2 linked regions of the Mytilus edulis genome follow. The protein of the gene in region 1 interacts with the protein of each later gene in a pairwise test. Links are inferred from orthologs where the notes say so. Each region holds a gene or a part of one and is shown on either strand. Other genes may lie near its edges.

What was found.
Region 2: the proteins of prefoldin subunit 5-like (region 1) and prefoldin subunit 6-like interact in a two-hybrid assay, tested with the Caenorhabditis elegans proteins (2 studies listed by BioGRID). The link is inferred for Mytilus edulis from reciprocal best matches to the Caenorhabditis elegans genes pfd-5 and pfd-6.

The regions. Positions count from the first base shown.
Region 1 is NC_092345.1:32,217,475-32,225,573, reverse strand, and holds the start of prefoldin subunit 5-like, read right to left. Parts: upstream 3,053-8,099; 5' UTR 3,009-3,052; coding exon 2,934-3,008; intron 1-2,933. UniProt on the Caenorhabditis elegans protein: Binds specifically to cytosolic chaperonin (c-CPN) and transfers target proteins to it. Binds to nascent polypeptide chain and promotes folding in an environment in which there are many competing pathways for nonnative proteins.
Region 2 is NC_092345.1:388,770-396,807, forward strand, and holds the start of prefoldin subunit 6-like, read right to left. Parts: upstream 3,029-8,038; 5' UTR 2,931-3,028; coding exon 2,870-2,930; intron 1-2,869. Other genes in the region: surfeit locus protein 1-like, read left to right, coding at 3,090-3,113. UniProt on the Caenorhabditis elegans protein: Binds specifically to cytosolic chaperonin (c-CPN) and transfers target proteins to it. Binds to nascent polypeptide chain and promotes folding in an environment in which there are many competing pathways for nonnative proteins.

The DNA of each region.
Region 1 (8,099 bases):
TTGTAAGTGTCATGTACCTGCAACCCTTTAGGCCAAAATAAAAATATTGTATGTTTGCCCAAATCTGACTGTCTTAAAATAAAAACAACGCTGACTCAAATTCTTTTTTTGCCGTTTTTTTTCTTTTCTTCAGATTTTTTGGTGTCCACTCCGTCATCGTATAAAACTTAATGATCGTCGTCTTTGCGTTTGAAAGTAACTGTGACTAAGATTAAAAGAAAGCGTGTAAAAGACGCAGTTAATCGATATTCAATGTTCTGGGTATTTATCTTCTGATTTAATGAACGTACATTTAAGTAAAGAAGCAAAACATGTGTCATGGCAGTTTTTTTACGCTGTCGTCGTCTGTACTTCTTAAAATTAACCAAAAAATAAAGACTATTGTGTCTAAAAGGCTTCACCGCTTTAACAAAAGGAAAACCTGGAATGATGTTTTTGATGAGGATGCCGATCCTGATGAGATGGACATGCAGAAAACTGATGACGTAGTTGTTACTGTATCCAACAACAGTGGCTACAAACTTTCGGGCCTGACATGAGTGAACCTATTGAGGTTGTATAGGAATTTGACAATAAACTTAAGTTTGCTACTTTTACTGTAAAAAAAAAAATACCTTTCAAATGTTGATTTTTTATTCTAAGTCTCAGTATATGGACAAAAATGTTGATTTTTTATTTTAGTCTCAGTGTTAACGTTTATATGTTGTGTTTAAGTCTACACATTATAAATAAAGTTCAGTTTATTGTTGAGTGATTTAATTCTATATAGTAGACTAATTTATAGAGGTGTTAAATTCTGGTTTTTGATTGTTTGACGGAAAAAAAGATATACATTGAATTTGTACTGTTTTAACATTTTCATGCAAATTCTGATAAAAAAAAAGGAATTTGCCTACCTACCTACCCACTCCCAGTCATCATTTGTCGGGTTTGGGCAAACTGAAATATTTTTTATTGTGGCCTTAATTACTCATGTTTGGACAATTTTCACAGAGACCCATCAATTCAAGCCTTTTCTACATTCATTTTATAAACTTCCACATGAAATAGTTCTTTGATTTATTTTGTCTTTTAATACATAAAATGAATAATAAGATTATTACTTTCATTTTCAATTGAACGTCAAGTAATGAGAACCTTAAAGTGTAATTATTTGCTTGAATTTATTAAAAATAATAACTCTGATAATAAGCTTTTATTTTTTATTTTCTATCTAAATTGAATTAAATAAATTATAGAAATATCATAAATTTTTTAGCAAATATTTATATTATAATTAACAATTATTTGAATAATATGAGTTAATAACAATAATCCTTTGTTTATTTGTACAAGTATATATTTTAATTAATTTTAATTGGTTGTTAATAGATTTCACGATTATCCTCTACAATCTTTTCAAGTTCATTTAACCTCCCTTTGATCTTCAATATCCAATTTTGCTTCAAAATTCATTTTTCATTTTAAATCTTTAAGTATAGTCAATAATACAACTACAATAATACAACTCAACATATATCAAGTAAAATAAATAAAGCCAATAGTATACTTGGGCTAATTAACCGAACTTTTATCTTTAAAGATCAATATACATTTTTAAGACTATACGTTGCGTTGGTACGACCACACGTGGAATACGGAAATACAATATGGTATCCGCATTTAAAGAAAGATATTAATGCTGTAGAAAAAGTGCAGATGAGAGCAACTAAATTAATTCCTGATATACGACATTTAAGCTATGAAGACAGATTAAAAGTACTTAAACTACCTTCCCTAACTCACAGAAGGCGAAGAGGTGATATGATACAAGCTTTCAAAATATTAAAAGGATTCGAAGATATATCTTATGAAAGATTTTTTACTGTCATCAGTACAAATACCCGTGGGCATAATTGGAAATTAGCAAAACCTTGATGTAACACTTCTTTTCGATTAAGACATTTCTCACAACGAATTATTAATGATTGGAATAACCTACCAGTTGAAGTTATTTCATCAAAAACTGTGGAAGCCTTTAAAATTAGTATAGACTGTCATTGGGAGTCAGTCATGTATCAGTTAAGAAATTGATGAGGACACAAATAGTTTTCTATATAACTTTTTAATTCTCAGATCTGCAGTGACATCACAACATGTAACTGACCAATCAATGATTAGCATATATGTGTTACATAAACAATGCTGAGAGGTGATGCGGATAAGAATCCTCTAGATTTTCCATACACTTCAATGTAATTAATTTAACTGATATATATTGACACCAGTTGAATCTAGTAATTTTACCCACTTAATATTGTTAAAGACACTATATAATATCTCCATTTTGATTTTTATCATACTATATCCTTTGGTTAAAAAATAATCAACAATATAAATAATCAGTTAACACCTTCAAATAGATGAAAAATCTAGAGGAATCCTATCTGCATCACCCCTTGAAAAATTTAAATGCCAGGATGTCCGGATCTGAGAATTGTGTGAAATATTGCACCAAATCATGCAGGATTGATGATTGTATCAGTTTTGAAAGTGTACCAAAATAGGGTGGGCTAAAAAGGATAGGATCCTTCCATATGAGCCCCACAACGATCTTACAGGTATCTTACAGGTAATACTGGTACATCAGTAATGTACCAGTATTGCTGGGTTTTTTTAAAAGTGACAATACTGGTACAAAATTTTTATACCAGTATTGCGATCACCAACTACAGGAGATCCATGGGCTTGATAATGTAATATGTGGTCAGTTAAATGGGAAATCGGTCCCGATAGAATTCTGAAAAGGATTATATATAATTATTTAAAATATTTCATGTAATAGCACGATGTCGATGACAATGATCAAAAAGCTTATTCTATTGTAATTTCTATTTCGAATTTTGGTGTGCGGGTTACATAAATGTGAAACTTTAGTAATGCTAAGTTTGAACCTGGTCTAATTGTTTAGCCAATTGGTTAAGTTGTTCAATTGGCAACTGGGCGATGTCGATTTGTTGTGTCGCCATGTCGGTATTTTATCCAAGGGAAGTAATAAGTGGACAGAAATAGTTCAAGACCAAACAAAAATATAATATATATATAGTATAGGAACGGACCAAAATAAATGGATAGACGGAGGATCACTTATGAACTGCATGGCGTATCCAACAATACTATATTTCTGTTTTGAATAAGGAAAACAAATCAAAAAGGAAGATTTGATTGGATTTGGATTATTTCTATGGAATTATTTAAAAGTACATTACATTTGTATAATTTAGTGTTATCATGCAGCGCTTTATATTTCGTTCTCGATTTCGTTGTGTAAGGCTTAAAAATAATAAAATGTCTCTGAACTATAACTAGGTTAAATATTAGAATGGCCCATTATTATCCAAGGTAAACGGACAGAAAGTCACAAACAATTTGTTGATAATTTTTTAATATATATAAGAGAAATTAGGTCTCGAAATATTTACTTTTTATTACATATAGTTATTTTTCAGTGTAGCAAGGATTTGTATAGTGTTATTATACAAATCCTTGAGTGTAGTAAAGATTTACTAAATTTTAATAATGTAAAGGATATATTTCTTGGCACCATGAAGAACCAAGCCACTTTGACATGTTTCAGTCTTATCAATTCTTTTGTCATCTTTGCCGTTAGTAAATTTATAGCAAACCAAAGATGAAAATAATCAAGAGAAATCTAGTTGGCAACATCCAGTATATATAAGTTTGAATTAAACAGAAAAACTGCCATCAACACTTTATTCGATTCCATTTTCCCAAAAAATGATAAAGCTATAAATGTCAAATAAACCATTAGAAAATGACAGAAAAAAAATTAAGACAATATATTTATAGGCGTAGTTTCAATCAAGCTGTATACAGTATTTAAAATACATTTTATCGTTTGTGTACACAAGTAGATGACCAATGGTTATTTCGTATCAAAAATACATTTCATATAAAACTGAGAAATTTAGTATGAACTCATGCAGTAGTCTATAAAGTTGTTTTGAGTTTAAAAAGTAAAACTACAAAAATACTGAACTCAGAGGAAAATCAATTCGGAAAGTCCATAATCACATGGCAAAATCAAATAACAAAACGCATCAAAAACGAATGGACAAGAACTGTCATATTCCTGACTTGGTACAGGCATTTTCAAACGGATGCCATTTTCAAATATAGAAAATGGTGGATTGAACCTGGTTTTATAGCTAGCTAAACCTCTAAGTGTTTCATTTAGACATAAAAGCGGTATATACTGGTGGCACATCGCTTATATACTATAGCTAGTACTGGTTTACAAAGTTGAAAATAACAAGTTTAATAATTTCATGAGTCAGACGCTTTTCTGGGGGTGCATTGCATTTGCGCCAATTTTTGAAAATGACAATCTTTCATTTGCGCCACAAGGTTATATTTCATTTGCGCCAAAAAATAAAAACCTCATTTGCGCCATTTTCAGGTAATTCGGGCAAGCAATAACGGAAACGTTAAATATTCATTGCTCTAAAAGGTTTGTCTTTACAGTATTTCTCTGGATAACGGGATGAGTTCAATGCCACACTCAATTCTGAAGTTGAGAGTCACTAAGGTGTACAATTGTATATAGTGTTCACATGTTCGAGGTGTCAAAATGGACATTTTCTATTTAGACATAAAACAGGCGGAGAATTAAGTGTGTAAAATTTGATGACCACACTTTTTTTCAGATCATACGTTCTGAAAAATGAAGACCAAGTCGTTTATTGGGATCCCAAATAAATAAAACCTTGCAAAACCAGTATAACAATTGAAATGGACTGCAGTTCATGAAAAAAAAACGGTCTATCTTTTTTATCAATATGGTATGCACTTGAGAGGAGGAACTTTCCAGACATGAATACATCAAGGCCGTCGCTTACAAGTTTGGTGCCAGGGTAGACGTATAACTTTACAATAGTGTTTCATGCTTAGATTAACTCCAGTGTAAACTGTTGTCTTTCATATTTCATAGTAGGTGTTATGATAACGTTTATTAATAACAGAACTCTGTTTCATTAAGGTTTAACAATACTTGTTTGGTTTAATGTCGACTGATTTCTGAGGAATATATTTAATTTTGCAAACAAAAGCTTTTATTATCAAAAGTCTTTTTTTAAATATATGTTTTATGCTATTTATATGTATTTACCTGTAATATTGGCGCAATCAAAAGGTTTTATTTTGGGGCAAATGAAATATTGTTTGTGGCGCAAATGAAAGATTTTTTTGGCGCAAATGAAATACTAATTGGCGCAAAAGCAAAACACCGCTTTTCTGGATTTACTTTCATCAGGAACGCTCAAAGCCAACCATTTATGAAAAGAAATCATGACTTCGCGAAAATATCCACCTTACAGTACCTAGAAAGTGTCAACCTTACAGTATCTAGAAAGTGTCAACCTTACAATATATAGAAAGTGTCAACCTTACAGTATCTAGAAAGTGTCAACCTTACAATATCCAGAAAGTGTCATCCCTACAGTATCCAGAAAGTGTCAACCCTACAGTATCTAGAAAGTATCCACCTTACAGTCCCTACAAAGTATCCACATTACAGTATTAAAAAGTATCCACCTTAAATTACAGTATCAAAAAGTATCCACCTTACAGAGTCCAGAAAGCATCCACCTTACAGAATCCAGAAAGTATCTAGAAAGAATCTACCTTACAGTATCTAGAAAGTATTCAGAAAGTAGACACTTTACAGTATTTAAAAAGTCCACCTTACAGTATCTAGAAAGTATCCAACTAACAGTATCCAGAAAGTATCCAACTAACAGTATCCAGAAAGTATCCAACTAACAGTATCCAGAAAGTATTCAACTAACAGTATCCAGAAAGTATCCAACTAACAGTATCCATAAAGTATCCACATTTAATACAGTGTCAGACAAAATAATCATTTTACAGTTACTTATTAGTTTAGTTTAATTTAAACAATATGTTATGCAAACAAACCAATTCAATTTATTTGAATAACATTTTATTTAAATTAAACTAAACTAAATAAACCACAGTATCCAAAACGTATCCATCTTAAAGTACCCAGATATAATGCCTGTATCTGAGTCTTGTACCCAATGACTACACACTTAATTTCTTTAGCACGTGTGTGTGGTAGCGATTCGTATCTGATTCGCATGAAGCAGTTGTCATTTTTGGATGACCTGACTTGTGTCTATGTATGTAGTGCTGTGCTGTCCACAACCTTAGTCGAACTTGTCGGTGTTTACTTTAACAATTGCAGATCTCATCATGAAAATTTATAAATCTGATAGAACGACTAGTTTTATGCATCCTAAACTTCAGTAGACAGCATCATAGTTTGATGCAAGTAATAGCGTTGCAGTTGTTCTGTGCCGTAGATTCAATGATCGCACGAAACATTTGCCGCTGAACATTACGCAACTGTAAAATAATAAAATTACATCTTATTATTTTGTCTTATTTAATAAACCTTTTCAGATATGACCAGCAAAAATAAAATCAATGATATATGGGGTATATCCTGTTGTATCCTTTATTTCGAGTTGATCGGATAGATGCGCTCTGCATAGTCACTAAGCTTTGAATAATTCAATCATTGAAGCAACCAACATTAAGTTTAATTTCAGTATAAAGACGAGCACTTACAGAGTTCTTGACTTTCGTCGGCCGCGCAAATATTTGGTGGAGATAAAGTTAAAGTAGGTTTCTTATGTAAGAAAAATTTAAAGCGTTATTCTCCATAAAACCACTACCAAACTTAAATTGTGGAATTATGAGTTTTGTTGGCTTTATCAACTTTTACATATTTATTGACCATAAACTTACAAAATTAACTTCAAGAGGCTGTTAAAATGACAACAAACCGAGTTATCTTATTACCATTATAAGTGTCATTGTTAAAGGCTCTAAGGGTCCTAAATCATGGCCTGAACGACAAAATTGAAAATTGCTTTTATTTTGACAACAGTAATAACAAAAGTCATATAAAATTTGATGAAGAAGAAAACAATAGTTGAAAAGTTCTCATCTTATTGCACGGAAACAATAATCACATGCAGTGCTATATTCATATTATCAAATACTCCCAATACTCCGGAGAGACAGATGTTAAACTTTTCGGGCAGCAATTTCCAAATTGAAAAAAAATAATTTGCAACAATTACAGCCGATTGCATTGAGTAGGTAGGTAAAGGAAATATCTTTGCTTAGCTTGCTTGCTAGCTAGCTGAACCGTGAAGTCATTATTTCCTTTACCTACACCCAATGCAATCGGCTGTAACATACAAAAAGTTGAAAAATATCGGTTAAACGGTTCGCCATTTATTACACGATTTCAAACGACATAAATGCCATTTTCCAATCAATGAAGACCATCGCTCTTAATCGAAGGGCAAATGTGAAAAATCATCAATATCGAGCTTGACCTCTTTATTCATCAATAACAACATGTTAATTTTTGATAAGCATTGTTTTAATGGTTTTATAAGCTATTGCACAAAAACGATGAAGCTAACTGCCTGAACGCCCAACAATCGCCGTACACCCCATAGTTTGATTATTATGCACTTGCAAGTTTTCAGAGGTCACCTTGATGATTAATTACCTTTAATTACTAACACACGAAACGCTGATAGATATTACCGAGTCCATGCATTGTAAATCATTTATGTTAGACTTTTTATAATTTGAGTCAAATCGGTGAACAAGAATTTGACAGCTAATGCTCTTTTAATATTTTTACATTTAACCACAGGAACACATACCGGTAATATGAAAACAAGATAAAGTTAAATATCTTTTTTCCATCCAGTGTGTACCAGAGATAACTGTTTTTCTTCATTCCTTACTAGCTAGTTTTCATCAATTTGTCTTTAAAACACATACATGTTATTCCTATTTCCCTAAAAAAAACTTCAGTCGAGTTGCAGGTTGGGTGATTTTCAAGTTAAATAGACCAGGCTGGACTGAAATGTGCACACACGCTAACATTCACGTGTGATTTTCACAATATTTAAATAACATAAGTGAAATGTCTATATGGATTTATGCACATTGGTATTTTTACGAATATCTTATATTATAGAGCGATAGCA
Region 2 (8,038 bases), about 32 Mb from region 1:
TTAGTCCCCATTGGAATTCCAATAACTTGACGATATACGGAATCTCCAAAGCGAACAAAAATGTTATCAAGCAAAAATTCAAGGGCATATATAGTATCAAAGCATGTCCAATTGACATAGTTCTTTTAATTTGTTAATTGCTACTAAAAAATGACCTAAAAGAGTTTGAACATATGTACTCGCATTCTGACTTTTTAAATGCCTAGTTAATATGGGATGTGAATTTTTTCTTAATAAGAATATGAGGCAAAGTGGTATATACATGATATAGGGTAGAAAAATCAAAACTTTGAACAGATTCAAAATCCCCAATATATGCATAACTTATAATGTCTGGTTATGTAAATGTATTTCAGTTGTTTCCTGTAATTAGTTAATACTTCAGCTTTATCATGTACATTTTTTGAATATTCATTTTATTAAATTTACTGTTTGCAAAAGTATAAATTACTCTAAATTATAGGGATTTTCTGGTAACTTAACAGAAAACCCTTGCCGTTTTTGGCACAACCTTTTTGATCTTTTGGTCCTCGATGCTGTTCAACTTTGTACTCGTTTCGGCTTTCAAACTTTTGTATCTGTGCGTCACACATAGGTCTTGTGTGGACAAAATACACTTCTGGCGTATTAAAATTTTGAACTTGTTGCCTTTTGTTGGCTGTTGTTCGTGTGATTCTTTGTCAATTGTGTTCTCCAATTTATTTATATTGTAGTCCTGTGTTGTCATTTTGATGTTATATTTTACATGGCCATAAAAGTGTGAGGTTTGGCATGCCACAAAACCAGGTTCAACCCACCATTTTTTCCTTTAAAAATGCCCTGTACCAAGTCAGGAATATGGTCATTGTTATATTATAGTTCGTTTCTGTGTGTATTACATTATAACGTTGTGTCGGTTGCTTTCTCTCATTTTTGAGTGTAAATTCACATTGCGATAAGACGTGTCACGGTACTTGTCTATCCCAAATTCATGTATTTGGTTTTGATGTTATATACATGTATATATGTTATATTTGTTATTCTCGTGGGATTTTGTCTATGTGTGTTACATTTTAGTGTTATGTCGTTGTTCTCCTCTTATATTTAATGCGTTTCCCTCGGTTTTAGTTTGTTATCCCGATTTTGTTTTTTGTCCATGGATTTATGAGTTTTGAACAGCGGTATACTACTGTTGCCTTTATTTATATAGGACAATGCTGTTGATTAAAAAATACTCCATTCCAGGACCTTTTGTTTTCCAAATAATTAATATTACCAATAATTGATAAGTTCCAGGTCGACGTGTTCAAACAGAAAAATTTTGAAAGCAGAGAAAACTGTGCGTCTTATAATCGGCATGACTTTATCAGATGACAATCCCAATATTAAAATAAGGCTTACGCATAGTTATATACTTTAATTCAGTCACGGACCCGCGATATCACGGGTGTATTCTAGTGTATATGTATCTTTATCAGCATCATGAGCATAATTTGACAGTTGAGGCTTTCAAAGCCTAGGTGCCAAAGCTGAACTAATTTAAAAAACAGTGTGGGGAGGGGTCTGTATGTGCACAGAAGTCATGGCAAAATATTCAGTTAGTTGATTGTGGCCATTATCCTGTACAGACATGACAGAAGTAGAATTTTATAAAAAGTTTTACCTTTAACTACTTTAATACATTTATGTAATACATTGCTATCTATATAATTGATCTTGAAAGGCTATTTTAATTTTTTTGTGGGACATCTTCGAAGAAAAAGCGTAACAACATGAACAAGAGGCAAAGAAGAGTGAATAATGGGCAAAAAGTTTAAAATAAAGAGAAAAAAAGTAAATAGAGAAAAATAGACTAAAATATTAAAGAATAGTGTATACGTCATCATATAAAATATTTAGAAGAGAGATAGTCCAAATAATTATGACGTCTGGCAAGGCTATCTTATCTTTAAATTTTTCAAAGGAAGGCGTCCCAGAAAAAAATTAATATAGCCTCGCCAGACTTCATAACTATTCGGACTAGAAGGAAGAATGATGGGCAAATTTTTTAAAGAATACCGAAATTTTTTCAAAAACAGTAAAGAATGTAGAATTGAAGGACCCCAATCCAGAACTTCTTTCAAGACCTCATATTAATAAATAAATGGTATTAATAAATAAATGGGACTAGCACATGGACGAAACGACAAAGACCGAAACCTCTTGTTTCCACGAATTCCATTGCATGGTGATCATGGACACAGGCACTAGGTATCAGGTCTGTTCGCGCCCAATACACTTTTCGCATCCTACATGTTCGCACCTGAAACAATTTATAGATAAAAAAATTATAGCAATACACTAACCAAAATTGATTAATATTTAAGATTTATTCCACCCGAAAATCCCGGTCGTCAGAATCTCACTTTATTTAAATGATTAAAAATATTTTAACAATACACTATCCGGCAAATTATGATTAAGATTTATTCAACACAAAAAACACGTTGTCTCACTTTATTTTGAGACAATGAAAACAAATATACTAATATGAATACACTTGCCAAAACTTGGTTATAAAGTTATCAAACACAAAACCAATAAAACTTGGGCGCGAACGTGTAGGGTGCGAAAGTGAAAGGGCGCGAACGTGATCGTGTGCGAAAGTGAATGGGCGCGAACGGACCCAGATTCCAGGCACTAGGCGACGTCGATCTATTATATAAGAATAGTTTACCTTTCAAATTATTATAAACATGTGTGTCTGTGACCATGGATATAAAAACATGACTTCACTGACACTATGACATAGCTGGACGTATAAAACGATAGAGATGGACATTTATCAAATTATCTCAGTGTGTTGTTCACACTTTTTATCGTCATCAAGATAATTTGTAATTAGTTTTACCTTTCTGGAATGCGTCATATTTTTCTATATCGCTCTGCAATCGTTTCTGAAGTTCGGCCATATTGAAACAGAAGAGATTTTCTGGCAAACTAATTTTGATTGGTCAATTTCAGAGCACTTGTCCAATCCAATTAAACGTTGCATTGCTACTTCTACTTTTACTTTTAACATTATAAAACTCACCTTCTTCAATGAGAGCTGCTAATATTTGACTGACAAAATGAATTCATCAGGCATAAGAAAGGTTAAACAATTATGTTTATTTGAATAACTTCAAACTGTGTGTCAAGGCAAATAATATTTTTCATTAAAATATCATTTGCAATAGTTGTCATATATTTCAAAATAATAAGATGTGGTATGCATGTATGTCAGACTATGAGTTACTTTACTTTAGGGGGGGGGGGGGGGGGGGGGGCTATGGTTTTTTTTTGGAAAAAAAAGTTTGTTTCACCCTCAGCTGCCACTATATGTAATGCTAAAATTGAAAGAAAAAAAAATTGTTTTCGACTTGTCGCGAAAAAAATAGATTGTTTTTCGCCGTAGGCGAAAAAAAAAAGTTTGTCCAGAAAAAAAAACCATAGCCCCCCCCAGAAAATCAAATGGTTGCTGCCTTACTTACTTTACTTTAGTCTGTACTGTTCCGCCTATATCAGACGACCCACTTTTCAGTGTGAATATCATTTAAATTGTCATTTAATCCAATGCACTAATATTGTTTGTTTATACACATTAACCACCACCTCTATTTACTCAGGAGAATAAGTACATCCCATGAATATACATATCAGAAACTGGAGGGAAAGTCAATGGACTTCAAAATGTTTGTTGCCCCATTTCAAATTAACAATTGTCACAGTTGAGCACTTTTTCATTATAAAGCTGATTGATATTGATTCATTAGTACTACCTCAATAAAGTCGATCCACCTGCCTCAATCCTCAATCTTAAGGCCTGTTGGCATAGTTCTCTATAGCTGCGAAAACGTAGCTCTTAAGATCCTTTTGATGATTTTTGATATTTGCGGACTTTTAAATTGAAAAATAGTTACAAATTCTTTTTTAAAGGTTTTGATATGGCAAAAAAAAAATCAAAGGACAATTATAGAGCTACTTTTTCGCAGCTAAGTCCTCTAGTGAATAATTAACTGTAAAGTCATGAAAGTGTTAATTTCGGAACAAATTAGTTCATCGTAAAGTTTAGTTGATACAACATCTTTTATAAAAGTTTTTAGACTCTGTATAAAGCTGTTTCTCGCATTATTTAATTTACTGCATCTCAAAACAAAATGTACCCGGTTCTCTTCCTCAGTTCCACATAACGGACAAATTGCACTGACTTGTCGTTTACTAAATTTAGAATTGTCGCATTGAAGAGTATGTATTACACACTAATTTGGATTTGATGCAGGCACGTAACGTAGAGTAAGGTTCAGATCCACAAGTATTCCAAATAGGATGAATGCTTCCAAATTCTGCATCATCATACATGTCATAGTTTGAAAGATTTAAAGATCATTTTTTTGACACATCAGATTTTAGTTTAATTATCCAGTAGTAGCTTACAGAGGAGTTAACCAGTTTTTTTCCATTTAGACTTTGAAGGAGGGCTGACAAGTAGATCATGAGGTGACGGTAGATCATATAATTCTGTGATAGTTACTATTTTACGAAACCAACTGTTTCATGACTTGGATTTCATTGCAAGTTGACGGAATGCTAAGTCACGTTCGACAGAGTTATCATTATCAATACTGTTTTTAAAGATACCAAGAATTCTTTTGTGGATTTCCGCTGAATTCCAGAGGTACATCAAAGTTCAAACATATTGCGGCAATTCTATTATTTCCATCAGGGAGTTTCTCCAAATATGGATTATATATTATTTACGCAAATTGCGACCCCAGCATGTGTGCGTTTTCTGTCAACTACATCATCAATAATTCCATCGTCAAAACATTTTATGTGACAGTTAAAATCAGTAAAATTATTATACAAATTATCCTTCTCATGGCTATAGAGCCAGTGCTCTTGAAGTAAAATAATATCAGATCTTTTAATAAGTTTATAAAGATACGCTAAATTAGAGGTCAGGCCTTCAATGTTAAAAGATAAAATATTTAACAGTCAGGGGACTTACTGAAATAAGTGATTTTAAAATCACTTATTTGAGTAGCAAATTCGAGGTTTTGTCACAAATTTGGATTTTGTAGTTTTTTCAAAATTTTAAACACATAGGTTTAAATAATATCTTTTAATTAGTAAAATTTAAAAAAATGAACTTTTTGCTTCTTTTAAGTAGCAAGGTTTATGCCTTTGATGCTAAATTCTATTTTAGTTGAAAAAATGCTATAATAATGGCTTTACATAATGAACTGATACTTTCTTAAAAGATTTTTTCCAGCAGTGGCAGTATTTTTCTTGTGAAGTTCAAGGTTTCATCTTTCAGATTATGTAATAAAATTCTACTGTTCGCGATAAAAATTTCACTGTTCGGGGGTGTTGAAATTAGTGGGGGTTATAAATTAAAAGAATGATACTTAAAGAAGTGATTTTTGGGAAGGAAATTGAGGTCTGATACTTAAACAAGTGATTTTTATGTCATTATCCTAGATTCAGTACAAGGTCATCACCTGAAATGACCTGGTCATCCTAGACAACACAGATGTTGGTTCTGATAAGTTTAGAAACATAATTAGTCCCTGGGTCATTAGTATTCTATATTTAAAGCTACAGTAAAATTAAATCACTTCTTCTAGTGATTAATTTGTACTACTTAAATAGGTGATTATTAAAGAAAGACAACTCTAACTTCCAACCTTTATGGAAATAATGTTACTTGAATCAGTGATTTAGAAAATCACTTATTTAAGTAAGTCCCCTGACTGTTTAACAAATGTGATGTTAAATTCTAGACTGAATCGAGGGTGAAATTGTGGACTCTGGTTCTGAAATCTCGGGATCACTTGGTATTGTCGATGGACATTTGGTTGACGGACATGATTCGGAATTCTCTGTCTTGTTGGAGGAGGGTGGTACATGTACATTGGTTTCTTTGGTGGAGAATAATTCATATGTGGCAGGTGTCTTTTCGGCGCACGAACTTAGCCTAAAAAAGGGTACTGTTCAGTATATGATATACCATGTATACTATGAACAGGAGATTGTTCATCTCCTACCTCGTCATCATGCATTTCAAGCTCAGAATCAAATAAAATGTTAGTACAAGAGTCATTTGAAGGTTTCTCATACTTAAACTAGTCAGCAGTTTGATTATTGGTCACATTTTGTTTGTTCTTTCGTGTTCTCGGTTGTTTACGTCCATTCTCTATTTTAAAGTCGATGAATTTATCAGCTAAATTTGAAATTTTATTGTCTTGTTTAAGTATTTCAAATTCTTATGAACACACACGTTGTTCCATGGCATATGATCTAGAATTATCTTCTCGACGCAGATGGTTCATGTACTGTATTGCTAGGGTTTTGTTGTTTTATCAATAAGGAATGTTCAAGATCCTTTTCATCTTGCTCTAATTTAATAGTGAGGGCTCTGTCAGTAGCCAATTCTTTTTTCATTAATTTTTTTTCGGAATCTTGTTTACAAATGAGCAATTCTTTGGTTTTAAGTTGCTTATCTTTTAGTCCAAGTTGAGATTTTAAATATTTTATTTCCTCTTCTAAAATGTTAGTGTTATTACATGTTGTCATTGGAATGGCACTGATGGTTAAAGGAATAGGTATACATGTATGTTACAGTTAGTTAAATGTGGCGGAGTGGAGCACAGAACTGTGGGGTGACTCAAGTTTGTAGAAGGATTGCTATTTTCTGAACGTGACCGTATACTTGTGGTTGGTTGAATACCAGTGTTTTACGGAGCATGTTTTAAATGAGAAACAAGTAGATCTGATTGCAATGATTTTAAAGTTTTGCAGCTGTTACAATTATATTGAAGTGTAAGATCATTCTCTATCTCATCAACCTCCTTAACCATGTTAACAGTAAGATTTTCACATTTATAATGAAGCCATTTATTACAGATTTCACATTCAACAGCCTTATTGTCAGAACTACAAAGATTTTCACATATAGGACAGTAGTCATTTTGTTGTTGATCAGAAGCATTTATTAGTGACTTTAAAGATGCGGAAGCACTATTTAGTTTAGAATGTTGACACTGATCTTGTTGAATACTAGTATTAATGTCAGTTGGTCGAGTGCAACTAGTCTGATTTGAGTTAAGATATGCAGTGCAGCATTGTCTGATTTTACTGTTAATTGTTATGAAATCCTTGTTATGGTCTAATACATTCAAGATATCAGGTAGGGTTGACGAAATATAAACTGACATATGTAGCTGATTACCATTCAAAACTACTTTTGACGAGGTATTGTAAAAGTTTAATACATCAGATACATAGAGTTTGTTCTGTGCATCATTGACAACGACAGATTCAGAGACTACTGCTTTATTTACGTCGGTCGTATTAGTCCTTCTTATTGAGAGCCCCTCACCCTGAAGCACACTCAAGGTCACGATTTTAAATTCCTCATAGGCACCGGCAGTGAATGTAAGCACTAAGTTACCAGGACTAAATTTAGGGACTACTGAGAATGTTCGATTTGAGGCATCAAGTTTTTGACTAATTGCTTTGTTTTTATTTAGAGCATATTCAGCTGGGTGATCAGTCATTGTCAGTTGTATTGAATTCTAGTCAAATCGGCACCTGGTTAAATCGGTACCCGGTCAAATCGGCACTCAGTATAGTCAAATCGGCACCTAGTCAAATTGGCACCTGGTTAAATCGGCACTTTATATAGTCAATTCGGCACCCATGTTTATAGATTTGTTTAATATACATATTTTAACAGTAATTTAAGCAAAAACAGTAAAAATAAGGAAGGGGTTGTCCAGAAATATTTACTTAATTATTTCACATTTTTTGGGGTTGATGTATATATATTTTTCTCTTAACTAAATGCGTATTTTAGTTATATATACAATGATCAAGGATTTTTATAGTTCTCACTATACAAATCCTTGCAATGATATATGAGGTAGTGGATATTTTGTATGCACTTTTTAACAGTTGAACATTTTGCAGGATTGTTGGTTTAATGCTGTTTAAACTCTCCTGAAAAAAAACACCTTGAATTGCTAATTATTTTGCA